Caenorhabditis elegans: one gene and its partner. The protein of the gene in region 2 purifies or fractionates together with the protein of the main gene of each other region. This does not show direct contact. Each region holds a gene or a part of one and is shown on either strand. Other genes may lie near its edges.

Region 1 (9,578 bases), on a different chromosome or scaffold from region 2:
TTGAAATTACAAAAAAATTTATGGCAACTTGGAAACTAAAAACTGGAAGCGTGTTTATGTTTCTAATATTCAAATTTCTAATATTTCAGGGAGCTGCCTTGTTCGGAGGAGTCTTCCACCGTGGATTCTTCTCGAAGCCAGTCGAGCGCACCGAAGAGGAAAACTACCGTTACTTGATGGCTCTTGATCGTTAGAAGATTCACCTATTGGATCTTTACTCTCTGCCACTTGCATCACACAAAAATCATTTTCTTCCATGTTAACCTTCCTTGTCTTATTGCCCCCCCCCCCCCCCCCCCCGCCTACTATTTTCAAAATTTCCTTCCCTTAACTTTAACTCGACCCTACCCAGATCTCCTGAGAGGGCAAAAAGAATGAGACATTACTAATGATCACTGTTCCCAATCGTCCATCCTGCATACCTAACCAGACCATCTTACCATGTGTCTCAGGTCACACCGTTGCCGTTTTGCGTTCCCCATATTGCTACTGACTTACGAGTGTGAAGAGACCCATTGGTAAAAGAGGAAATCTCTGTTTTTTTTTCTTTTTTTCTTTGTTTTGAAATATTCGTTACCCACTGTTTTAGGACGAATCCCATTTTTTTCGATTTTCCTCTTTGTGATGCTATCCACTTTAGGATAACCCGAATTATTATTACTTCGCACGGGTCTGGGGGTAGCACCAGGTATTCTTCACCTGTCATATGTATAATCCAACCGCACACCAATCACCTCATCTGCTCTTTTTATGTCTCCTTCATGTTTTGATTCTCCAATTTGAAACCAAAATAATACATATTTTATTCCCCGAACACATGCAAACTTGTCAGACATGTTCAATGTAGAAAGTGTCAGAAAATGATCAACAGCCTTTAATGACGGAGAAAACGTTGATACAAACACACGCGTAGTTACTTTTTGCCTTATGTTATAAAAAAGAAAATCTCAATTTGAGAATATTCTAAAAAAAATGTTCAGTTAGAGATAATACCAATACTTGAATTTTGAGTTAAAACTGTCGAATTGCCATATTTGCCGAACATCTAAAAAACGCTACCAACTATAAATATAAAACATTATAAAATTAATAATATAAACAATAAAACTACCACCTATTAATTTTCAATTTTTTTTGCCGATTAACAAATTAGCTTGTTTGCAAATTTACAAGTTTGCTACCACAAAATAATTTGAGATGAATTGCCAGTTTACAATTAAAACCACAATCAAATAAAAGTTATTAACCTTGTTTTCAAAAATTTAAACCGCTAGAAAAATGTTGGTAAATTTGTTTAAAAGTTTTATTTCAAAATGTGTTAATTAAAATTTTGGCAAATTTAAGAAATGTAAAGCATTTCCACAGTTTCAGACCGCTACAAAGTAAAAAATTGTTAAAAGCTTTTTTGGTCAATTTTTTAAATTATAATTGGCAAAAAAACTCCAATTTTGAATTTATGATAAATTTAAAATTTTAACAACAAAAATGTGAAGAATTTCGGATACTCTAAAAAATATTTATAAAAACCTTCAATAATGTCATGTTTCATTTCACATCCGGAAATCGCGTTGTACAAAAATTGAAACCTGAAAAATTGTAACAATTAAAAAAATCTGAAATATGCCCACTTGAAAATTCATTTACAGTTATCACATATGGCAATTGGAATTGAAAATAATATTCTGAAACAACGCAGCGTTGTGAAGTGGAGCAAAAGACAATTGAAGAAGAGATGAATGGAAAGTGTGAGTTAAGGACAATTATTTGATAAAATTACAAACTTGAATGAAAAGAAAAAGAACCAAAGAAAAAATGAGAAATATATCTGAAACCGTGATCAACCGTTCAATTTATCAAAAACGGCGGATGGCAAATCAGTAAACATATCTAAACACAGGGCTAGTGATAGAAATGACGAAAGAGATTTTCACTTGCTTTGTCCAGAAAAAAAATGGATTGCTGCAAAGAAGACAAGAAAACAACAATTGTTAAGAATGAGCTTATAAGAATATTGCATTGAAATTTTGAACAAGTAGTTTACTTGGGAAGAGGACCGGTCAAAAACAGCTTCTCCGTTGGCGACGAGAAAATTGGGCTGGTTGTGTAGTGATTGATAAGAGCATTCATGTCCACAAACGTTCGGTTTCCAATTTTCAGGAGACCATCCACGTTTTGCACTTTGAAATGCTTGTTGCGTTCGATTCCGCGCATTGAGATCGACAAGTCTCCAGGCTGAAAAAAATTGAATTTAATATTAAATGGTTGAAAATATCCATTTTTGGTATTGTCTTCCTAGCAATATTCAAATGGGATACTGTCAATGAAGATTGATTTTAATTTAGATTGTATTCTGATCAGAATGAAAGCGTATTAACTGTAATATATAGTTTGGAGTGAAAATGTTCAAATCAAACGCTAGAACGTTTTTTTTTCCTTTGCGGTCCTTGATTTTGGTAATTAATTTCGTAGTATCTCGGTCATTTGCTGCCATTTTTAAACTAATTGTAGCCTCTTGCCAGCCTTCATTCTTTTGGATTTTTTTTGCACTAAGTTTAAAATAAAACTAAATTTAACAACTTCTTAAACAACTTGAATCTCCTTATTCGTCGATTTTAGTTTTAAAACCAATATTAGCAACTTTGTGACTATACTTCACCAACTTTGGCAACTGTTTGAACAACTTTAGTATCCCACAACTTCTCAACCAACTTTTGCAACTTCTGAAATTGGCATTTCTAAAGTTGCTAGGAATGGTTGAAAGCTTGCGACTATTTGGAAAGACACCGTTTGAAAAATTCCAAAAAATGCTCACATTGCTCTCCGAATCTCTGACCAGAAACTCTCCCTCACGACCATGTAGTAGAAGATCTTCAGCACGTTCCCTCGAGATGCGTCCAAAATACCACGGCTGTTGCTCCATCGGAATTTCTCCGTTTCCTGAATATTGCGGTGCGAAATCTTGATGTGAAGCTTTGCTGGATGATGAGTCGTTGACCACCTGAAATGTTCTAATTGTTTCAGATTCGGGCAATTTTTCTCGGAATTTTTAGGCGATTAAATGCACTACCTCAATGTAATTTCTTGGCACAAGCCCTGTGGTTCCACTGGCGTTGCGCGCCATCCACCAATCGGGGTCATGTTCTGGATGATCCACGATTTCGAGCCGTTCTCCTTTTTTGAACGATAGTTCTTCAGATGATGATGCGTCGAACGAGTACAATGCAACGACGACCTGAATCTATGAAAATGATTATTAAATTGCATTGGGGTAAATCCTACTTCAAATGAAGACCGTGACGCCTGGAGCTTCGGCGGTGGTGCTTGCATCATTATGGGCGCTGGAACTGCTGCAGCTGCTGGGTTTCGGTTCTCAATGCTTCCCTGATTTCCGTTTGTCGAAGCTTCAACTTCCTCCACATAGTTTGACGGGAACCATCCGACTCCTCCATTCGGTGCTTCTCCCTTCCACCACCCATCTGTGCTTTTCTCGACGACATAAACGAAATCTCCTTTTGTGAGACCGAGCTCATCTTCAAGTCTTGGCTCGTAAGTGAATTTCACCACAGCTTTCGTTTTCGAGCTCATCATAGGAATCTGAAGAAAAAAACGTTGGCGGATTAAAATAAGTTATGATTGAAAAGCCTGTCAAACCTTATTGGATGATGGTGTCACCGCACAGTTGTTATTCAAGCTGAACGCTAGACGCGCGATGCCGTTTAATCGCTCCTCCTGAAAAATCAATTTCAACAACAAAAAAAGTACTAAAATTAGAGATTTTCGCTTAAATTGAGCTTTTTTTCAAAATTTTGAAGCGCCATAGAAATTTTAAAACCATTTTTCTCATTACGAAATTTGTTCATCTGGAGTCTAAAAAATTTCAATTTTCCAAAATTTCCAAAAAAATAAAATTTTCACTTTAAATAAATTGACTTTATAAAAAATGTAGAGTTCTAACACAAAAGAAATAGTGTATCGTTATGTGAAATCTCTTTTTTTTTTGGCTTACATTAGAAAATATACTATCCTAATCAAAAAGCCTCAAAATTCAAAAATAAAATTTTCACTTCAAATAAATTTATTTAAAAAAAATGTAGGGCTCTAACACAAGTATTAAGTTCGGCAAGTTAGAGGGACGACGCAGATGTTTATTGCAAGGAGGTCTTATGGCACGAGAAAAATCGATAAGGAAGTGCTCTTCCCGCCTAGAAAGCTCACAGTTTAATTAGAAACGTGATCTTAAACGGCGAAAAAAAAAACAAATTTGATGAAGCCGGAAATTCCAAGTTTTTTTTTGGAGGCGCTACGTGGCCAGTAGCAGCAGCACAGACTCAACCCGCTACCTTCAGTCAGAAATGCAAACAAAGTGAGCGGTTGAGCTCGTAGGCAATGTGCATGCAGCGCCCCACACATCGAAACACGATTTTGGTTAGGGGGTGAAGAGCGGGAGGGGCCCTCAGGCGATTGAAACGTATCGTCAAGACGGAAAAACATAGGAAGCGTTGAAATTTCGCGCGCTCTTGTATACCGAGACTGTCTCATTTGCGCCGAATACATTGTCGCGGGAGAGCCGTATGTATGTGTGTGTGTGTGATAACAGGGCAATGATAGTATGCGCCGCTTGCACACACATGCAAATATTAACGGTTTCGGTCATTTATTACGGAGTTTTTGCCTCACAAAGTTCAGCATATTTCGATTCGAAAATATGATTCGAAAAATTGAGCGTGCCGTTTTGATATTGAGAAGAAGAAAAGCAAAAAAAGTATTTTATGTGGAGGAAGGAAAACGCAAAAAACAGACGAACCTGTCAAAACGGCGAGGAGAACGGGAGAACGCGCGGCGAGGTCTTTTTGGACGGTCTCGAGCAATCAATAATCCTGGGAAAACAGGGGAAGAAGAGTTTGTTAGTTCAGACGATGCGCAGTATCTTACGCGCAAAACACTCAATTAGTTATTGTGGTGATGACAAAATCATTTTTTACTAGAATTTGGGCTATTATATCAATTTTTAATGGAAGCTACAATATTTAAAATAATTAACTTTAAATTTGTAAATGCTATTAGTTAGTTTCATAAAAATTGCAATAAAAAAACCGACAACGAGAAATATTCCTGCCCCAATATGACAAATCATTCTAGAAACTTTTATGGCATTACAAACGGAGCAAAAAATCGATTTTGTTTGCTGTATGATAAGGAAACAAAACTGGAATGTTCTGGGAAGAAAGTTAGTATATCAAAACTAGTTTTAATGTACCTTAAAATTAAAAGAAATAAAGTATCTGTTGGCAATTCTAATTAGAAGTTAATTCAAACTGTTGCTTTCGGCTGGAAGCGCTTGTGTAAATACAAATCTTCCACGTGAAGACTGGTTTTGGCATTTGGAAACAAAAAAAAACTGAGAGTGCGACATTACAGTCGATTATGTTTCGTTTAGTTGTGGCGGCAGTTTGGCGCTTTTTTTGGAAGTGAGATGGGTTTTTGTAACAAAAAAAAACAAAACGAAACACTCACCGGCTCCGGATCTGAGGATCGGTTGCGACCTCGCGCTAAGCCCTTGATTGTTCCTTTTGCTTTGTCCACAATTGATTCTTTTCGCACGTAGTTTGAAGGCACAAATCCAACACTGTTTGAATCGTTCATTACCTGAAGAAAACGGTTTTGATCCGAGGGAAAACAACGTTAAGTGGCTCAATTTATTTTTAAAAAAATTAAGGTTTGTAGAACACTTTTTGATTAGTAGTTTTGCTAATTGGTACCAGGATTTTTTTTTGAGATGTGGAGCAATGTCAGTGCAAGCTTTGTTTAAATGTTGCTAAAATGACCAACAATCATAATGAAACTCTTCAGAATTGTTTTTTGAAATATTTTAATGTGCAGTCAATGTGCAAAATATGGTCGACCAAAACGTTGACTGAAAATTTTGAAAAAATTATAAATTTTTCTGGATGTTTAATGAAAAGAGAAAATTGTAAATTTATATATGATGCTAAAATAACCAAATATTATAGAAAACTGTTCAAAAAATTTTGGAACATTTTTATTTCGAGTCAAAAAGTGGTGAGAACTTACTAATATGTAGATTTCCCCAAAAAGTCGTTGATTAAAATAAATTTCTCTTATTTTAATGTTCTAATTATGCTTAAAACATTAAAATTTCAATATAGCAGGGAATTGAACATGCGACAGTGTTTTAGAGTTCTCGAAAAGTGGATCAAACTGTTTTCACATTTAACCATTAGTTTCAGTATGTTTTCCGTCAATAAAAACTCACTTTCCACCAGTTTTTGCTATCATCTAACAGCTTTAACCGTTCGTTCTTTTTTATCGTCAACTCCTGTTCCTCTTGTGCTAAATAATCGTATTTGACGACCACATAGTCCTCCGACATTTCAAATGTCCGATGTAATACACCCTGTAAAGTGGTTTGGTGAGAAAAATTGCGAATCCATAGCAAAAAACCGAGGAGAACAAGTGGGAAAATGAAATGAATAGGGGATGGATACGCAACTCGTAATTGACGTCGTCTATTCTACCTCCTCACTACACCTACACCTGATAAAATCAACATTAGTGAGCGGAAAAAAGAAAAAGAAGGCGCACTGACGACGTACGCCACATTTTTCTAGGATATATCGGTCAATGTCAATCTGTTCAGAAGTCAGTTAGGCTGTTGGATGTTGGTAGGTCAAAGCGTGTCATGAACGGGTTCCGGAAAGTTTTTTTATTGATTCGAAAGTTATGAAAAATATTAAACTTATAGTTAGTATCAAAAATCTTTTTTTTTTCAGATTAGCACACAGCCGTATCAAGTATGACAAAAAAAGAAGAATGAAAAAGGTGAGATGTGAATAATAAGTAGCATAACGCGGGCAGCATTGCCTATTCAATAATACTATTTTATGGAGTTAGCAAACACATGAATATAGTCATAAAAAGTTGGCGAGGTAAGCAGGATTTTGTTAGAAGGCGTCAAGCGAGAAAATAACTGCAGTAGTTGGGCAGATGTACTTATGAGTCAGGATGCCTTTGAATTTTTCAGCAAGACGGGTGCACTTTCGAATGGCTCAATGGGAAAATGGAAATAATTCAGATGCCTGGCTTTGGCATATAATTACTTCCAGCCAAAGTACCAATAGGAAACCCCACATTTCCTCTGAAAGTGCAAAATCAGGTTTCAGGCAAATTTTATTTGCGCCTGTAAGCATTTCCAAATGGGGAAAATCACGCAAATGGGGAAAGTTTTAGTTAGGATTGTAAGGCCTTTATTGAAAATATATTGATACTTCTGGATTTAATGTTACCCCCAAAAGTGCTAAAGTTAAGTTGTTATATATTTTTCAGACCTCTTTTTCCTACAAATCTAGAATAACTTTTTTCAAGCTCTGGAAATATGATGAAAGTTTTAATTTGAAATTAATTTTTTTAGGGTCTCCTACAAACTTATATACTTATATACCGTTTTTAATTTAAATTTTGATTTTTTGATACTTGGTTGAATTATATTATAAAAGAAAATGCCTTATAATATACCTGCTTGTCGAAAAAGAATACCCATCGTAGTTCAATATGGCCTAGAATTTTTAGAATTTTTAAAATTTCAGTCAACACATTAAACTGCCACACTTAGAAAAAGAACAACAGGAGCGTTTGAATACATTTCTTACTGACGAGACTCCAAATTGTATTAAATTCCACAATTAAGTAATTTTAGAAATACAGATTTTCATATTAAAATTTTAATTTTTTGGAATTTTCCTTTTCAAACCAGAAACGTAATTGACTATGCTCCATTTTGCAAAAGAAGAAAAGAAGAAAAAAAGAAACAAAAAGCAGAGGAAAAACAACCGACAATTGTAGGCAACAATTGTTGGAAGAGCCCCATCGTTTTCTTCGTAGCACACACACACACACACACACACACACACACACACATTTTCGGACAGGACAAGAGTCAATGACAAATGATGGGAATTTTCGGTTTTGAATGGGGGCCAACAGGGGCCGAAATAATGCATTGGAATGCGGAGAAAAGAGAGAAAAGATTGAAGACGGATTGCCAAAATAATGTGCGGAAAATTTGCGAATCTGGCTCAAATCTCAGACTGGAACGACGAGATGGTTTGTGGGGGGATAGATGAAGGATTTACTTGGGAATTGAAAATAACAACAAGATGATCCTTTAAGGGACACTTAGCAATCTGGTCATCGGAGAATAAATATCTAGGGGGGCCCCCCGTCACCAACCAGCGCGGGTATTAGCAGCAGCTGAAGACGAAGAAAAGTAGAAGAAGTGGACGGAGGGACACAACAACAATAACAACGTTCAACCATTACCAATTATTCTGTCTTTTCTCTCACTTTCCCTTACTCACTCTATTCACTATTCTGTTCACATGGAAACACAGAGTCTTTTCAATTTACCAGTGAGTATGAATCATGGATGAATAAGATATCAGAAGAATGGGTGTTTGTAATACAAATAGGTGCATGTTGTTAAAAATGAAGTAGGCGCCTGTAGGAAAATTGTTAGAAGCCACTTTTGTGGTTCAAATGATTAAATATCATATAGTAATTTCGCTAAATTTTGACATATTACTTAAAAGGCGCATGCTGTGAATTTAGTGGTAGGTCTCGTTACGATCCACAAGTGCCAAATTTTACAGATTTGTTCATTTCGCGTAAGAAAAATAAAATTCGAAAATCTAAAATGCACAGAAAAAGCCAAACCTTAACGTGGAATATTTAGCACCAACATAGTTTCACATTTTGGCAAACGGACAATAGTATAACTTATCAAAAATTGAAACTATGCCAAATTAAAATTAAAAAAGGTCTTTCCAAAACAACACCAAAAAAAAAACAATCATACAAGTTTTATACTCTAACTAAGTTGTATTTATATATTGCATGAGTTCAAAATTGTGAAATTGCACTAGTTCTTTCAAAAACTGCAAAATTTTGGCAAAATTTGGCAATTTACCAAAACTTTAACGGAAAATTTTATGTTTTTGATTCTGATATTTGACTATTTCAGATTATTTCAAGTTTTTTTATCATTACCCCACTACCTCTAAATAATAAAAAATGGAAACATTTGTGAATATTCAAATGAGCTAGAAGAATTATTTAATTAAAACGGAATTTAGTATAAACCAGTATTAATAAAATAACGCTTGGGACACAAGATATACATTGAAAAATATGTTACTGGAAAAACATGAAACGTTAGCTTTTCTCAGAAATTGTCAAAAAAAAAAGAAATTCTCAGAACTTTCCTGTAGACATAAAATGTGTTCATTTCTGTACAAAATTTTTGAATTACTAAAATAACATTTAGTATGCAACAATTATATTTAGTCCCAGTCAGTTTAGATATGTTCCAGATTTTTACAAATGGTATATAAAAATACAAAGTTGTTCAAAAAAAAATGACGAGACATATATCAAACTGTAAAACAAAATAATTAGGAAACTAAAGTTTTGGACATATAGTGAATACTGGTAGAAAATGTTTATACCACTATATCAGAAAAAATATAGATTTAATTTATTATTCGGTCTGAAAAATGCAAAAC
Region 2 (9,113 bases):
AAACTTGCGGATTTCGGACTGGCACGTGCCAAGTCCGTACCGACAAAGACGTATTCAAATGAGGTTGTCACATTATGGTATAGGCCACCAGATGTTCTTCTTGGTTCCACTGATTATTCGACACATATTGATATGTGGGGTGTTGGGTGTATATTGTTTGAGATGATTGCTGGAAGAGCTCTTTTCCCAGGTGGTACACCAACAGAGCAACTTGGACTCATTTTTAGGTGAGTATTAATTTTTTGCATCCAGTTTCATCTTTTTCGTTTAAAATCTTCAAATTTTTAGTTTCTGAAGATGTTTAAAAACTTCAAACTATTACGTAGATGTCTAAAATTGAAATTTTTGTCATATCTTACCCGCGTGGGTCTCACACAATGACAACGGGTTACGGTAACTCATGTCGATATGGGCCTATATTGCACTATAATTTCCGAATTAAATGAAAAATTGCTGCCAAGATTTTTTACATTAAAATGTCGAACATTTTAAAAACAAACTCAAAATAAATAAATCTTCAGAACACTTGGATCTCCTCGACCGGATCGACATCCGACAATATGCGAAAAGCCAACATTCTATCCATACGCTAACAGACATTACAATCCAGATCCACTTTGCCGTCAAATTCCACGGATTGATGCTCACGGATTCGAATTGCTCATGAAATTCTTACAGTACGAAGGAAAAGATCGAGTGTCGGCTGCTGAAGCTGTGAAGCATCCGTTCTTGAGGACGATCGCTGTGAAGGTAAATATCAGTTCTAGATCGGAAGTTTATTGAAAATTCAACAAATTTCAGTGTTGCCACCTGCGAGATGAGCAATCTGTCCTAGAAGCTGATGGTATTCACATTGAAAGGGAACTTCTGGCATCAGATCATCATCACAGCTCTCGTCGTCATCATCGTGGAACTCTTGTAAAAGATAAATATCGAATGCATTCGAGTCATCACACTTAGAAATAATTTTCTCAACAAAAAAAAACATATTTAGAATTAAATTTGTTTCTTTTTTCCCCATTTCATCTCAGATTGTGTTGCACTTTTACGGGTTCTTGTCAACCAATTCCGATTCGTTTCCTCCCAACCAAAATGTCCTTCCAATGCGGTCACTTATAGATCAAGATGTTTATGAAACATGTTTCCTAATAATTTATTGTGTAATATTTTCTCTTCATATCCCGAGACTCCATCATTCTTCTTAGAATTTTTCCCGTTGTTTCCCGTAACCAGTAATAGCGATTTTCAAATTTACATTTTCTGTTCATAAATCACACAAAAATCTACAAAAAATCATCTCATAATCTCAATTTGTTCCCAAAAAGCACACAGAACCATTTTTTTTGCTATTTATTTTAGCCGTTATTCTTATTGTACACCTGTGAATAAACAAGCTCTACCCGGAAAGCTTCTACTTCTCATCGAATTGGAAACAAAAATTATTTATGTGGATACCCAGAAAAATGATAATATGCAAAAAAATTATGAGCGTTTCTGCTGTAAGTCTAAAAAGGGACAATGGTTTTGGATGAGAGGGGAGCATCACAGAAAAATCTACGGGAGAAAAACAAGAAGACTGGTTGAGTTTTAAAAGTTTGTTGGTATTTCGGGTGTGTGGAAGGGGGCTTACGAAGAGAAATTCACACGGAATAGGCACTGATTTGGAGAAAAAAAAAAACTAAATGCACAAGTTTTACAAATTCGTCACTTTCAAAATGTATGATAATTTATCTTGGAAATTGACGATTCTGTAATTTTTCAAATCAAGAATTGTACTTGAGGGACTAAAATTACCCTGTTTCACACGGGATTTGCACAGAAAAAGGAAACGAAAAATGGAAGGAAAACAAGTTTAATGAGATAATTTAGTCTAATCTGACCATTCATTTTTGTCATCTTCATCGTCATCATCATCACTAGTATCATCTATTCCCATATTCATTCGACGTTCCTCAAGAGCCTTTGCTAGTGCTCCAGCCAATCCTCCCATTCCAGCGGCTCCAGAAGTCGTACTCTTTCGACGTTCTTGCTCAGCAGCTGCATCCACCTAAAGTTTAAAAAAATTGGAATCAATAGTAATTTTCGGTTAAAAATTGTCTTACATGTTTTAATTGTGCTCCTTGTCGAATTTGGGCCATCACATCTCCACGAGCATCACCACCAGCCGATTTTGGTGAATCTGCAGTTTGTTGAACGGATCGAAGTTGTTTTCCAGCTTGGATTTCCTGAATACAAAATTCAATAGTGAACATTTTTAAAAGTATACTAACCGCTAGCAAATTCGATCTTCCATCCTGAGCAGGTGGTAGTTTTGCGAGCACCGATGCAGGTCCTCCGGCTCCTGAAGGTGGTGGTGGAGGTGGAGGGGGTGGAGCTCCTGCTCCTACTGCTGGCAATCCCATCGGTGGTGGAGGAGGTGGTGGTGGAGGAGCTGCGGATGATATCGGAGCCATTCCAAATGATTGTGGTGGTGGAGGGGGTGGAGGTGGTGGAACCGCATGTGGTCGATTCTCTGGGGTTCCATAGTTGGGCGCCTGAATATAAATTAATTTTTTTCAGAAAATCACTCTCCGGTTACTTACTTGAGGTAAAGGTCTTGATGGTGCAATTCCACGGGTACCAGATGACGGTGGTGGAGGAGGTGGACGAGCTGGAGCCAATCCATGAGATTCGACACGTGTTGGAGGTGGAGGAGCGGCAGGTGTGGAATATGATGAAGCACCGCTTCCAATCGGAGCAGATGATGGGAATGATGGTTTGTATTGACGCACTGGTGTTCTGAAAATTTTTTTTTCATTTAAAAATAAAACTTTTTTGTTATCGTATTTCTAATATGGCTGAAATACGCCCTCACCAAATGCAACACTAATTTCATTTCTAATATTTCTAGTATTTATATTAAATATTTCATAATATTTCTGGTTCTCAGCTACAAAAAACAGTAGTCGTAAAATATATTCAAGGGTTAACTGTAACAGAAACATATTACTTTTAACTTTTTTTGTAAGTTTGCGGAAAAAAAACTACATCGAAAGCATTTCGGGGGAGAATAATTGGGATTGCGTTGCCATTACTCTTTTTCATGGTCCGACATCTACCGGGTTTCGACTCACACAGCGCATATGCATGTATCTTCACAGGGGCGAAACCCAGTAGATGTCGGACCATAATTAAATTTATTTTTTCTGGTTTGGAGTTATTTTTTTCCGAAATGAAAACAAAAAAACTAACTGATTCCATGACTGATTCATCTGTGGATGTTGCTGAATTGGTGGTGGAAGAGGTGATGAGATTTGTGATGGATCCAAACTTCCAACAGATACATATTTATCATAGTTCTTGGCAATGAATTTTTTCACGAATTTCTTATCATCCTCATTCAGATTATTGCTTTCCAATCCAGCAGCCTTTAGAATATTTTTAGTAGCTTCATCCATATCATCGTCGTAAACTGTATTCGAGAATCCACTATCCTGATTCCATCCAACATGAGCTTTATGTCTGAAATATTTAGTTTAATTTAAACCATTAAAACGGAATAAATCTCACTGAAAGTTTGTTGGATTAGAAATATCCTCTTTCTTAATTTTCGATTTTTTATCCTTCTTTTTGTTTTTATCTTTCCGGAACCATGATCCACTACTGCTAGCATTTCCATCTGTAAATATTGAAAATATTTAATTAAAATTAATGTTATTTTTTGAAGAGATTTCTCACCAAATTTATGTAACAATCTTTTCAATTTATTAATCATTAAAATATGAGCAAATTTTGCAAAGTATGCATAAGAAATGAGATATAAAATGTGATTTTTTTTAAGTTTACGTAATTTTATTCAGAAATTCAATTACTGACTACGAGAACATCATTTTTCAATTTCCAAAAAAATATTCACCTGTATGTGTATGTGATTGTGGTGCAGCAGCCATAGTTCCCATTTGTGTTATCCCTTGACCTCCGCCAATTGCCATTGGAGGTCCTCGAATTGTTCCTCCATAAGCCTGTGTGATTTCGAATTGTCGTGTTGGAGTGGATCCGATTCCTGAAATAATAAATTATTAAATATAGAAGTTCTCACTGTCAAGTGCTCTGTTCTTTTTCATTTCAATTCGATCACCCAATCAGTTAAAAATCATCTTTCTCTATTCTCCAGCATTTCTGCTCAACAATGATGTTCATGTGCTCTGAGCGCTTGAAGCCGATCAAGTACTCGGTCGGCGGTGCTCATAACATGACATGAACACAAATAATCGGTCCGAATTTCTCGCCATCCTGGGTTGGATGTTTGCTTTCCAAATTTGTGTGAAAAACTCTTATAGAACCAGATTCTGTCTATCAAATTGATCAACTCAAAGAAAAAACGATAATATGGAAAGATAGTGATCAAGTAAACAAAAATATTATGATAAAGTGCAAATACACATCATGAGTTCAACTTGTTGACACTTCCTATACTTTTAGAAGTTTCGAAAAACTAAATTCGTTTTTAAATTTTCAAGCTTCACAAGCTGTGTAATTTTTGGGAGATTTTAAAAGGTTTTAGAAACTATTGTAGAAGAGTAAAAATGATGAGGTGAAGATTCAGACATCAGAATATTTAAAGTCTGTAAAACAAACCATTAAGCGAAATTGATGTCGAACTAGAACTTTTCTTCACTAATCGATGCCTTGCAGGTGGATGAGATGGAATTGGTGGTGGAGTATCTGCTTCTACAGATGATGGTGTTGCACTGCTACTCTCTGTACTACTATCACTTCCTCCAGAACAGTAGATAGGTTCTTCTTTCTTTGTGACCATAACAGATACTTGACCATTTGATCGATGAACTAATACGGAATCAGAATGAGGTGCAGGATCAGGATTCATCGATACTGATTCATAATCGTCGTCTTCGTCACCGAAGTCATCCGTATTGAATACGTGTCGAGAACTCACATAGTCACCACGAGATACTGGTTCTTCTGGGATATGAAATCGTACCTTATTTCGAGAAAGTGGGGGTGAATAGTCTGGATCAGGACTCGGAGCTCTATGTCGACGAGGTTCTTGATGATGATGTGATGATCGATGACGAGGTCGGAATGCTAGCTGCTGTTGTTGCTGCTGATGATGTTGCTGTTGTAGTTGCTTTTGTTGATTGTGATAGTAATAGAATGCATCAGCAGATATTGGAACATAACATCTTGCATAGTTCTGACGCCTTGCATATGTACCTGTGGATCCTCCATACCTTGTTGAATATACTGGATCTTGGTATTCTGCAGATGAGCTTGTTGAGCTTGACGTGGAATCAGGACCTCCATAAGTCGAATAATCATTTACATTGTCATATTGTTCCATTTCATAATATCCTCCATTTGGTAGAGTATGACTCCGATGGGTAGTACGAGGTGAGGATCCCATAGAATCAGGGAAGCTAGAGCATCCTCCACGTGCAAAACGTTGCATATGGTTATGGTGAAGATGACCGCCAGTACCGGAAGAGGAAGTGGAGGATGGAAAGGACGAATAAATTTGAGCCGCCGACGAAACGGTTGACGGTTTATTGGACGACGGATTGGTTGTCGCAGACGGTGGCGGAGGGTGGGAAGGAGGAGGAAACGATTGAGCGACCGGCAGGTTGTGGTACTGATAGCGGAGGCGGCCGGCCGGATCCTCGCTTACCACCATCCACATGTTATTATTCTTCGAATGGCTACTACTTCTGATACTTCTGAAAGAAGGCGAAAAAGATCGTCGCAAATTATGGAGATGAAAGCGAGAGAAAAAAGAGTATATGGGAAATGTCGAAAGGTGACGTTTATGGAATCGAAAGCTGTGAGAATCGGAATTTTCAGGTCATAAAATGAAGGAATGGAACAAATTCACTTGAGATATCCGAGTGATGTGTGAAACAATTGAAAGGAGAGATGTATATAAGGGTTCCAAATTATACCTCTAGTTGACTTCGAAAATGGGCATTCCAAAAAATGTTGCATATTTACGCAAGCATAATTTGTAACATCCTATTCTTCAAAAAATCTTGCTGAAGTCTGATGAAAAGTGAATTTGGAAAAAAAAACGTTTGCATTTCTAAATCTTTTAAATTGCCATGACTTTCTGATTGGCGTACAAGCACTTAGTGATTCGAACGGATATTCAGAGAATCATAGAAACAGAACGAAATGAAAACCGTCATAATACACATCATTATTGTATACCGTTTCGCCTCTTCACACCGTTCGGCTTCTCTCCCTCTAATTTTCTCTCTCGCCCAATCGTTTCGATTCGGAATCAAATTACACAACACACTACCACAGTTTGGCGGCAGTGAGATGTGCATATTGACAGAGGAAACAGATGTAAATATTAATTGAATTCCTAACAACTATCTATTTCTATTCAAAAAATGATATTTTTTACATATTCCAAAAATTTTCCATGTAAGAAATGAATAGTAAAAGTGACCGAAATGATGGGGCGAAAACTGTGGGGAGGTGAACTGAAGCACTTCTCTTCTCACGAGAGTTAGGCGGAGTCAACACCGATGAGTATGTGTATGTGTGTATGTGCTGCCCTGAACCTCTAACGGAGAGAGTCTCAATATAGTTAAACATTAAAAAACTGAGAAATAATAAGATAATGTTTCTATTAGTTTGTGACTTAGGTGTCAATGTGTGGCTACCAGAAATACTTTGTAAGAAGTATCGTAATTTTTTTCTTGAGTTTACAGTACTTTTATAGTAAACGAGACACCGTTCTTAAGGGTGATCCTTCAAATTTAAAACAGCGGTAAGACTGAAAAAACTAAGATTTTACTTTTTTGTTTGAAAGCGTGTACTTCAACACAAAAATTATTCAATCATCGTTTGACTACTGTCACACCCGCTAACAACAACACGTAGGAACAGCTACACCTCTAGACGTCAATAATGACATTCGGAAAACGGAAGGAACAGCCAGTTTCACTTATTATTAAATAATTTCTACACTTTTTTCACATCTGCTTGTGTTCTGTTAACAGATTTTAAAGATATACTATGTTTCAAAAATAACCTGCGCCAAATACAAAACTATATACGAAAACCTAATTATAACTTCCTCTCAAGTGTCGACTTCTCAAAAATTAATGCATGAACATAATACAACCGCATAGGATTGCTGCAGAAGAAGAGATGGAGACTTGAAGCACTATTGTAAAAAAGAGAAGAAAATAAAAAGTATGAAAACCTTATAATTGAACCAGTGCTCGTTCTTTGTTCAGATTGAACATTGTAGAGCACAAGGCACGGGTAAGATCACGTAGATCTCCATTGAATCCTGTACTCGTCTTGTCCTACTCCTTGCTCTTTCAAGTGGCCCGCTTTTCACATGCGTCGATTGAAAGTGGCTCATGCTTTAGAGGAACACAAAACTGAGATTCATGATAGGTCAGAACAAATTTCTATTTTTTCAAATAGAATTTTATAGATTGTAAGCAATATAACTTCGAATCAAGTGACACATAATGACATATCGTATTGTAAGTTAGGAATACAGTAGACTACAGTAAGACCATTCCGAGATATCAGGTACGTTTTAATAAGTTTCAATTTCAACTTTTTTTTCCGATTATCTATTATAGTAAATGACAATTTGTATTAATTTCAATGGATTGGTCATTTCAAAAAATTACCGCTCCAGAATAATAGAATAGAATAATACGATCGAGATCAAAAATAAGACCAACAAACGTCGAACAATTTTCGAAGAAACCAAAAGTTGAAAAATTGGAAAAGTTGAATAAAAGTCGATAAATATGCCAATAGACTGTGATATGTAATCTTCTTTTCCACTCTCTCAATCTTTTGCCCTCAAAGCCATTCGTCCAAGAAAACAAACAAAAAGTCTTTTGAGCAGCTTGTCTTTTCGCTTTCACCTGTGTCCCGCCTTTCGTCTGCCAACCTTTTTTACACGAAACTCATCAGGTCGGATTAAGAGGGCGGCTTACCCGATGTTGGTGTTGAAAAGTGGTGGAAGCAAGATTCTCGGACGAAGGGACAGTAAATGAGGGAGAGAGAGGTCAAAGAGACAAGGTCAAACTAGGTATTCAACAACTTTTAGGACAACAACATAAGACGAACATTTAAATGAGGACGCTTTTTGAGTGACTGTGTGTTCAGAGGATGAACACCCTGAATTATGGTTCGAAACTCAAACTTTTTCTCCCGAATATGGTGTACACAGGGGGTAGGCGATAAGAATGTCTCGAGTTGTCAAGGTTGAAACTTTTGGCGCTTACTGTTCAAAAAGTTCAAAACACAAAAGTACAATTTAGAACGAAAAAAAGCCTCCAGAGCATAAAATTTTTTTAAAAATATATGTTTCCATCAAGATGAGCAAAATTTGATGAAACTCAGAAATTGTTTGTAAATTTCTAAACTTTTATTTTTTCGATTTTTGGAAAAACCGAAATATTTTGACGAAACCATTGATCCGAATATATTCTCTGAACAATATGAGAATTAACATAATTATTGCTCAAATTTATGAAAACCCTAAAATCAAAAGTGCAAAAGTGCTAAATTCAACAAAAAATGAAACAATGCGTATGTTCAAATGTTGTAAACACAGTATTTTCTTGGATGGGCGTGGTAACTGAATCCTGAGTACATAATAGCTAGCCCAATTAGTTTTGCCGTTTTCGTCGTCACTGCAGCAGCAATTCGCCGCCAGAAAAAAAAGACAGGAAACGATTGAAACGAATTGACCAGTCCTTTTCCTCCTCCTGACGCGTGAAGAAGATGATGAATTTATCGGAGCAACACCGAAATCGGATCGGACAGGTAGGAAAGAGAAAAAGAAAAAAATAACTGAAGATCGGATTTCTTCTCTTCCGTACAAGACTCGGAATGCTTTCTTTTCATCTTCGAAAACCAATATATTTGTGTATGGCCTATCAAGCAATGCTTCTACTGATGGCTTGACACCAAGAAAAACTAAAACGACAATAGGACGAAGATGGGAAAGTAATACAACTTTTACGGCTTAAATCTGATTCAGGAAGAACAAGAGAAGAAAAGTTAAAAAAAAGAGAAAAGTATACAGTTTGTAGGCGAGAAGTGGAAAAAGATGCTTATGCTCAAGAAATGTA

Evidence for each region.
Region 1: the proteins of wsp-1 (region 2) and nck-1 purify together in Caenorhabditis elegans (affinity purification with western blotting, with the first as the bait; one study listed by BioGRID). This does not show direct contact.

The regions. Positions count from the first base shown.
Region 1 is NC_003284.9:4,147,029-4,156,606, forward strand, and holds nck-1 (NCK (Non-Catalytic region of tyrosine Kinase) adaptor protein family), read right to left. Parts: upstream 6,416-9,578; 5' UTR 6,392-6,415; coding exon 6,275-6,391; intron 5,647-6,274; coding exon 5,515-5,646; intron 3,730-5,514; coding exon 3,652-3,729; intron 3,595-3,651; coding exon 3,280-3,594; intron 3,239-3,279; coding exon 3,068-3,238; intron 2,999-3,067; coding exon 2,813-2,998; intron 2,233-2,812; coding exon 2,038-2,232; 3' UTR 1,625-2,037; downstream 1-1,624. Other genes in the region: ZK470.2 (Growth-regulating factor), read left to right, coding at 90-194.
Region 2 is NC_003282.8:8,187,476-8,196,588, forward strand, and holds wsp-1 (CRIB domain-containing protein), read right to left. Parts: upstream 5,721-9,113; 5' UTR 5,678-5,720; coding exon 4,618-5,677; intron 4,043-4,617; coding exon 3,896-4,042; intron 3,659-3,895; coding exon 3,550-3,658; intron 3,502-3,549; coding exon 3,232-3,501; intron 2,779-3,231; coding exon 2,583-2,778; intron 2,535-2,582; coding exon 2,271-2,534; intron 2,226-2,270; coding exon 2,103-2,225; intron 2,048-2,102; coding exon 1,871-2,047; 3' UTR 1,429-1,870; downstream 1-1,428. Other genes in the region: pct-1 (Cyclin-dependent kinase 17), read left to right, coding at 1-227, 522-750, 802-960.